Macaca mulatta: one gene and its partner. The protein of the gene in region 1 interacts with the protein of each later gene in a pairwise test. Links are inferred from orthologs where the notes say so. Each region holds a gene or a part of one and is shown in the gene's direction. Other genes may lie near its edges.

The links. The genes of interacting proteins can lie anywhere in the genome.
Region 2: the proteins of TFDP1 (region 1) and E2F6 interact in binary tests that used the Homo sapiens proteins (3 or more experiments, as listed by UniProt). The link is inferred for Macaca mulatta from reciprocal best matches to the Homo sapiens genes TFDP1 and E2F6.

Annotation. Positions count from the first base shown.
Region 1 is NC_133422.1:107,803,460-107,807,563, forward strand, and holds the start of TFDP1 (transcription factor Dp-1), read left to right. Parts: upstream 1-1,304; 5' UTR 1,305-1,337; exon of another isoform or gene 1,338-1,495; intron 1,496-1,771; exon of another isoform or gene 1,772-2,026; intron 2,027-2,369; 5' UTR 2,370-2,433; coding exon 2,434-2,445; intron 2,446-4,104. UniProt on the Homo sapiens protein: Can stimulate E2F-dependent transcription.
Region 2 is NC_133418.1:113,381,897-113,385,396, forward strand, and holds part of E2F6 (transcription factor E2F6), read left to right. Parts: intron 1-1,059; coding exon 1,060-1,276; intron 1,277-3,008; coding exon 3,009-3,164; intron 3,165-3,500. UniProt on the Homo sapiens protein: Inhibitor of E2F-dependent transcription. Binds DNA cooperatively with DP proteins through the E2 recognition site, 5'-TTTC[CG]CGC-3'. Has a preference for the 5'-TTTCCCGC-3' E2F recognition site.

The DNA of each region.
Region 1 (4,104 bases):
TGAAGCCAGGTGACCAGAACTTTAGGGCGTGCGGCCTTGCCTGAGGAGCAGGAGTGGCCAAAATCAGCATAAAATGTGCAAAGCGGGCTGTCATGTAATAATACCCTGCATAGGCAGAGAGGCCTTTGGTCAGCTCCTCAAGTCCTCCTAGACTTACGCTCGGTGCGCACCGGCCTCTGCCGCCAGCTGTGGCCCTGAACTTTGGACTCTTCTCTGGCCTAGCCCGCCCTTGGCTGGGGTGCTCGGGCCTGGCCCTAGCGGCGGGGCCGTCCAGGGTGGACTGAGTCTCCAGGACTCGGGGACCACCAGGCTCACCATGCAATGAAACTGTTTCTGGAGTTTTCCTGTCCCTGCTTTCCCTCCCGAGTCCCGGGCCAGGCTGCGTCCAGTGGGCACAGAGGACACCCAGAATTGTTGGTAATCTGGGGGTAGGCCAGGCATGGGCTTGGAGGTCACCGGGTCCAGCAGAGGCAGCGGCCTCTGTGCCACGCACGCACACACACCTCTCTTCCGTGTGTCCACATACACACGTCTGTGCACACACCTGCTCTCCATACATGCACAGCCCCACACACAGTCGGCCCTTTATGTGCACAGACACTCGTGCACACAAGCGGCCCCCTCCCTCCGTGCATACAGGCGCGCACACAGCTGGCTGTCTCTCCTTTGTGAGAGAGAGCTCAAGCACACACCCGGCCCCGCTATTCGCACACACACTCCTGGACACACTAGTCCGTGCTCCCCCCTACACACATGCACACAGCCGGCACTCTCTGCTCCCTGCACACACATCCTGACACACCCGGCCCCCCACCTGCTGCCCCATGTGCACACACACTAGTGCACACACCAGTCCCCGCCCCCTCACATGCACACACACTAGTGCGCACACTACTCGCTCCCCTACGTGCACACACCAGTCGCCGCTCCCCCACGTGCACACACACTCGTGCACATAGCCGACCCCGCTCCCCCATGTGCACACACACTCTTGCACACAGCCGGCCACCTCTCTCTCCAGACACACCGTCACAGACGCGCACAAACGCGGCCCCTTGGCCTCCGAGCGCACGCCGCGCGCGCTCACTGCCCGTCCCGGCGCAGGCCCCGGTTCCATCTCCGCACGCGCACGCGCACACGCGGACACGCGCGCACGGCCCCTCCCCGCCCTCCCAGGGCGCGCAGCACTGGCGGGAGGAGCGGGAGACCGAGGAGCTGCAGAAGAGGAGGAGGAGGGCGCCGAAGGCGCGAAAAGGCGCGCAGGCGCGCTGCGGGGCCCGCCGCCGCCCACGTCACCGCGCCGCGCGCACGTCACGCCGGCCCGACGCTCGGCCAGGGTGAGCCCCGCGTCCCGGCGCCGCTCGGCCCAGGGCAGGGACCCCGCCACGGCCGGGACCGCCCGGCCCGGCCCCCGCCCGCGCCTCCCTGCGCCGCCCCGCGCCCCGCACCGCGCCCTTTCCGCGTCCCCGCCCGCGCGGCCGGACCGGGCAGCCAGGTGCGGGCGGGCAGGGGATGCCGCGGGAGCCGCGGGCGGGGGCCGGGGGTGCGGGCGGGACCCCCGGCCACCCCATCCTGTGCCCCGGCCGCGTGTAGGCGCCGCGCGGCCCCGACCCGCGGTCTCCCGCGCCCTCCCGCGCCCCGCGCGCTCCTGTGCCTCGGGGACCCCGCGCGCTCGGCGCTGGTGGGGGCTCCCCAGGTGACCGCGGGGCGGGGGTCCCGGGCCTGGCCCTCCTGGCCGATAGCAGCGCCCGCGCCCCGCGCCGGAGGTGGGGCCAGGGCCAGGGTCGGCCGGAGCGCGCAGGGCGGGGGAGGGGATGCCGCCCCACGGCGGCCCGCGGGGACCCGGTTCCGGCGCGCGCGGGAGGCGCCTCGTGCGGAGGCGGCCCGAGGCCTAGTGACAGGCGCGCGGCGCGGACCCCGGAAGCCCACCTGTCAGAGTTACCGGTCAGCCAGGCGGGCGCCGCCGGGGTCTGGGGTGGACGCCGCGAGCCTGCACGTTGCGCCGGGACCCTGGGGCTGCGCCCAGGTGGGTGGTGGGGCCCCCCCTGCAGCGGCGGGAGGGAGGCGCTGCGCCCTGGCTGCCGGGGCTCAGCCCCACCCTCGGCCGCTGGGCGGGCCGTCGGGGACCTGGGGGTCGTGGTGGTGACCCTGCGGGCCCGCCGGCCACTTTTGCGCAGGGGACATTTCCGTCTGACGAGGCGACTTAAAATCCTCAGTGTGGGAGTCGGTTTGGCCAGCTCCGCTCTCAGGATGGAGGGTGCCTTTGGGAAGGAAGGTCCACGTTTCCTTTGAGATGTGTTATTTTTTCAACTTCTTTTTTCATTCTTACTTATTTATTGTTTTTCCTTCCTTTTTTTTTTTTTTACCAGAAAAATCATTTTTCTTCTCTGGGAAGGTGAACATTTGTAGCATTTATTTCCCGGATCTGGTAACATGGCAAAAGATGTAAGTATGTTTGCTTCATGCTGCACACGAATGTTTGCCTCGCACTAAATTCTTTGTAGTTTTCTGCCTTTATTTCAGAATGACAACGCATAAGCTACAGTAGTGTTTATTTTCAGACTTTTAAAGCATCTGAAGCGGGATGAAGGTGAAAGATGGAAGGATCTGATCTCTGAAACTGCGCTCACCACCCCCAAGTTGTGGCCTTGGATACCACACTGTGCAGTTGGGTGGTGATGGGGTGGTGCCTTCTGACTTTCTCCTTATCTTTACCGACTGTGTTAATTGCTAATTTTGAATAAACTCCTTATTAAATTGAGGTGGAGGGTGTTGCAGCACCGCAGCGAATCCTCCATTTCTTGGGGGCTTCCACATAAGATCCTGGACGGGGGCCAGGCTTAGGTCTCAGACTGTAGCCACCTGCTGGCACCTGTCTTTCTATAGAGGAAGTTAATTCCACTTGGGTGGACCAAGAGCTAAGCAATTGTTTTGGCCACTTTTTTTTCTCAGAAGGATGAGATTTGGTGGTTTATGAAATCTGGTAAGAAATGCTACTTAGCCTGCTTAGTATTTGTCATGAAACTATAGAATATTTTGAATAATTTTTTAAACTTGTGTGGGGATCGAGGCTTTTAAGGCCAGAAATGTACTCTATTTTATTGGCGTGTGGTTCTTTACTATGCTTGGTAATGCTGGTCACTGAAGCAAGCTGGATTCCTTAGTGTTTCCCATCACGCATTGCTCTGTAACTGTGAGTGAAAGGGGTTGTTGATACAGCTGTAGCGAAAATGCATCCGGAGTGTGGAACCCTCTCCATCGACGCAGAGGTTTCAGTGGTCCCTGTGAGTCCTTGTGGGGCGTCTGCCCTCCCTGACCTGTGACCACCTACGTCACACGGTGTCCCTGGCTTCAAGCACTGGGATGTGCTTTAGAGAGGGCATATGAGCACACAGGTGGACCCAATGTGGGTTTTTGAAGTCATATCTGGGTGTGCTGCGAGGCTACTTTTACCCTATCCACTGTGCTTGTCCGTACCATGCCCTGACCTCATGCGTGCATGCACTCAGAATGCCAGATGTGGCCATGTGCTCAGCGCGCAGCCGTGTTCATTACGTCTCCTCACAGTGAGGAGCTGGGCCCAGGGCCTCGGTTAGAGCACGCTTCTGGTGTTGTGTGGTTTCCTGTGTGGTTTCCTCAAATGGTTCTTAAACACGCTTTGATACATAATGGGTGGTGTCACCGGGGCCCTCATTCATTCCCCCTTGATTTCATTGGCACTGTATGTGAACAGCATGTAGTGTGAGGCTGGGGGTCGGGGGCATACAGAAAGGTGATCCGACTCTGCGGGACTCCAAATGCTCTATCCAGTTTTGGCATTTGAGACGCGGCATTTGTCAGGGGTTGCATAGGCACAGGGCCTGGGGGCTTACCTTGCGCTCAGGGGTTATGATCTGAGTTGGGGGCTGGCGCTGGGAGGAGAATAGGATTCTACAGCTGGTGAGGCCTTCCCTGCTCAAAGTCTGGGAGTGGTCAGGAGTGCTGGGTCTGGCTGGAAAGGGAGATTGTGGACAAGTCAAGGAATTTGATGTTTTCTCTAGCTCTTTTTCTTTTGAGACAGAGTCTTGCGCTGTCTCCCAAGCTGGAGTGCAGTGGCGCGATCTT
Region 2 (3,500 bases), on another chromosome or scaffold:
CATGGTCCTGTTTTTGTTTTTAAAAACTATATATATGATTGACACACAAGTGTGAGTGTGTTAGAGGGGTGTGTGTGTGTATGAAAACCCAAGCCATAGTAGGTGAGTGAGGGAATTAAAGGGATTTTTTATCATTTGTCTATCCGTTACATTAATACAGAGTAGTGAATATTTTTAAAAATAGAGATAGTGGGCCGGGCGCGGTGGCTCAAACACCTGTAATCCCAGTACTTTGGGACGCTGAGGCGGGTGGATCACAAGGTCAGGAGTTCAAGGCCAGCCTGGCCAATATGGTGAAACCCTGTCCCTACTAAAAACACAAAACAATTAGCCGGGCGTGGTGGTGCACGCCTGTAATCCCAGCTACTCCGGAGGCTGAGGCAGGAGAATTACTTGAACTCAGGAGGCGGAGGTTGCAGTGAGCCAGGATCGCGCCACTGCACTCCAGCTCCAGCCTGGGCGACAGAGTGAGACTCTGTCTGAAAAAAAAAAAAAAAAGAAAAGAAAAAATAGAGATACCACTGTTGGCCGAGGTATGTCATCATTGCCTTAATAGAAGACTAGTTTGAGCTCTTTCAAAACATTGGTCAGACAACTTACACTATGACATGGATAGAGTCATTAAAAGGGGACAAAAAGCCAGTTCTCTGCCTTTGCTTAGTAAAGAATTCCTTCACTTGAAGACCAAATGAGAAATTTAATTTTAAAAACCATGTGTAATTCTATTCCTGAGAGTGGTATGGATGCAAATGTAATCTCACTGCTTTGTCTGAGAAGATGCTGTAGACTTGTAAAAGTCCACATGCTCAGTGGACACTGGTTGCATATTTCAAATACTCCTTTATTTAAATTTAAAGCCTTTGTTTAGAGCCAGGATAGGCCAGTGAATTTTTTCTCCAATTTAAGAGATTTATTTCATAGAAACCAGCTTTGATTTGGTCAATGTGTAGGGATTTCTGTAGATGTCTGCTCTCTGATCAAGAGGAAACAGATGATTTTTTAAAATGAGTTGAGAAATGTTATTTAAAGTTTTACAAATATGTTTATTTTGTTTCCCAGAAGCTCTAAAAGTGAAGAGACCTCGTTTTGATGTATCACTGGTTTATTTAACTCGAAAATTTATGGATCTTGTCAGATCTGCTCCTGGGGGTATTCTTGACTTAAACAAGGTTGCAACGAAACTGGGAGTCCGCAAGCGGAGAGTGTATGACATCACCAATGTCTTAGATGGAATCGACCTCGTTGAAAAGAAATCCAAGAACCATATTCGATGGATGTGAGTTGCTTTCAAACTTTTCATGGCTTTTTTTCTTTCTCATCAAGTGACAATTCCGTGCTTAAACTAGATAGTAGCAATGTTTTGACAATAGAAAACAAAGGTACAACTTCTTGTTAGGAGAGAATTCTGTAAAATTTTCTCGCATCATCCTGGAGAGTACATACATTTTTTAAAAAGTATTTCCTCAGTTCCAGTTGATTACTGATATTGGGAAAATCTGTGAAGGTTGTAAAACAGTGGTTTTCACACGGCCGTGTAGTAAACACCTAGAGGCTTACTGCCTCTGGAGGTGTAATTCGGTAGATCTGAGGGAAAGCAGGAAAGTACATTCTCAACAGGTAGCCCAGGAGATTATGACGTAGCGAGGTGTTTGAAACACTGCCCTGAATATTAAAAGAAAAATCAGACAGTGTCTAAAAGGCAGTTGCTAAAGACTTGACATGATGAGGAGGAATCCAATGGAAAGGGAAGCTGAAGACTGGCATAGATAAAGGTATCTGTGCGTGCACACATAAGAAGAAAGCTGTTAGAATAGGCAAGTATTTTGGGACAGGGAGAAATCGTTGCAGCAAATAAGTACATAGTGACCTCTCAGGCAAATGCAAACCTACCAAGAAAGACTGTAAAATGATCCTAAATAATTAACGTAGTTATTAGAGGAAAGGGATTCATAAAGGAGGTCATTTTTTCAATAGTATGGAAGTATAGGTTGAATTCTAATTTGAGCATGTTTACTAAAAAACACTTTAGGAGTTTGTATCGGCATGCATTGTGAATCACTAATTAGAATCAGATTTGAAAACTGCCAGGTGAAAGATAGAGGCAAGAACCTTTCCCTATTTATTTTCCATTAAGATTGAAAGGAAAAAATGAAAATCAGTTGTTGCCTGGTCATCATATTGGAGTAGGCACTAATTACTAAGGAAAATATGTATATCTTTTTTTTTTTTCTTTTGAGAGGGAGTCTTGCTCTGTCACCCAGGCTGGAGTGCAGTGACATAATCTTAGCTCACTGCAACCTCCACCTCCTGGGTTCAAGCGATTCTCCCACCTCAACCTCCCCAGTAGCTGGGATTACAGGCGCACACCACCACCCCTGGCTAATTTTTGTATTTTTAGTAGAGACGGGGTTTCACCATGTTGGCCAGGCTGGTCTCGAACTCCTGACCTCAGGTGATCCACCTGCCTCAGCCTCCCAAAGTGCTGGGATTACAGGCGTGAGCCCCATGCCTGGCCTGAAAATAATGTCTTTTTTAAAATGATGAATAGAATCATTATATTCAGATAGAATGTGTACACTAGGGAAAAATACAGACTCATCACATTTTAGCAGAGGAACTGTCATTTAGCCAACACTTTGTTTTCATATGTAGGAACTCAAGTACTGTAAGATTATAACTTATCAGAAGCTATGTTGTAAGGACTAGGACTGAGGCTGAAGCTAGGTGTTATTGACTCTTAGTTCAGTGCCCTTTTGCTTTCTTAGGCTGTCTCTGCTGTTATTAATTTCTGTTAGGTTGTAATGTATTTTTTTTTTTGAAAAAGACTGTATAAGATGAAGAACTATAAATGTATGTACAGAAGGAATAATGGCTGTCTAGAACGAAGATAGCAGAAGTTAAAAGTCCCTAGTTTCTATTGTTGTGGAAAACACTTATGGTAATCATTTGGAGAAGTTCCAGTAACCTAACTTGAAATTCCTTTGTGGTGATTTTTTTTTCTTTTAAAGAGGATCTGATCTTAGCAATTTTGGAGCAGTTCCCCAACAAAAGAAGCTGCAAGAGGAACTTTCTGACTTATCAGCAATGGAAGATGCTTTGGATGAGTTAATTAAGGATTGTGCTCAGCAGCTGTTTGAGTTAACAGATGACAAAGAAAATGAAAGATATCCTTTAAGTCTATACCTTTCTAAAATTTCTGCTTCCAAAACAGATTACTTAAGTAGTAGAATCAGCTTGGGGACTTAATTTATATATTTAAGATATAAAATTAGACCATTAAAAGTTAAAGTAATACAAAATTAGCCAGGCATCATGGCAGGCACCCGTAATCCCAGCTCCTTGGGGGGCTAAGGCAGGAGAATAGCTTGAGCCTGGAAAGCAGAGGTTACCGTGAGCCGAGATGGCGCCATTGCACTCCAGCCTGGGCAACAAGAGCAAAACTCCGTCTCAAAAAAAAAAAAATAATAAGTAAAAGTTGGTAGTAATATAGCCTCAAACGT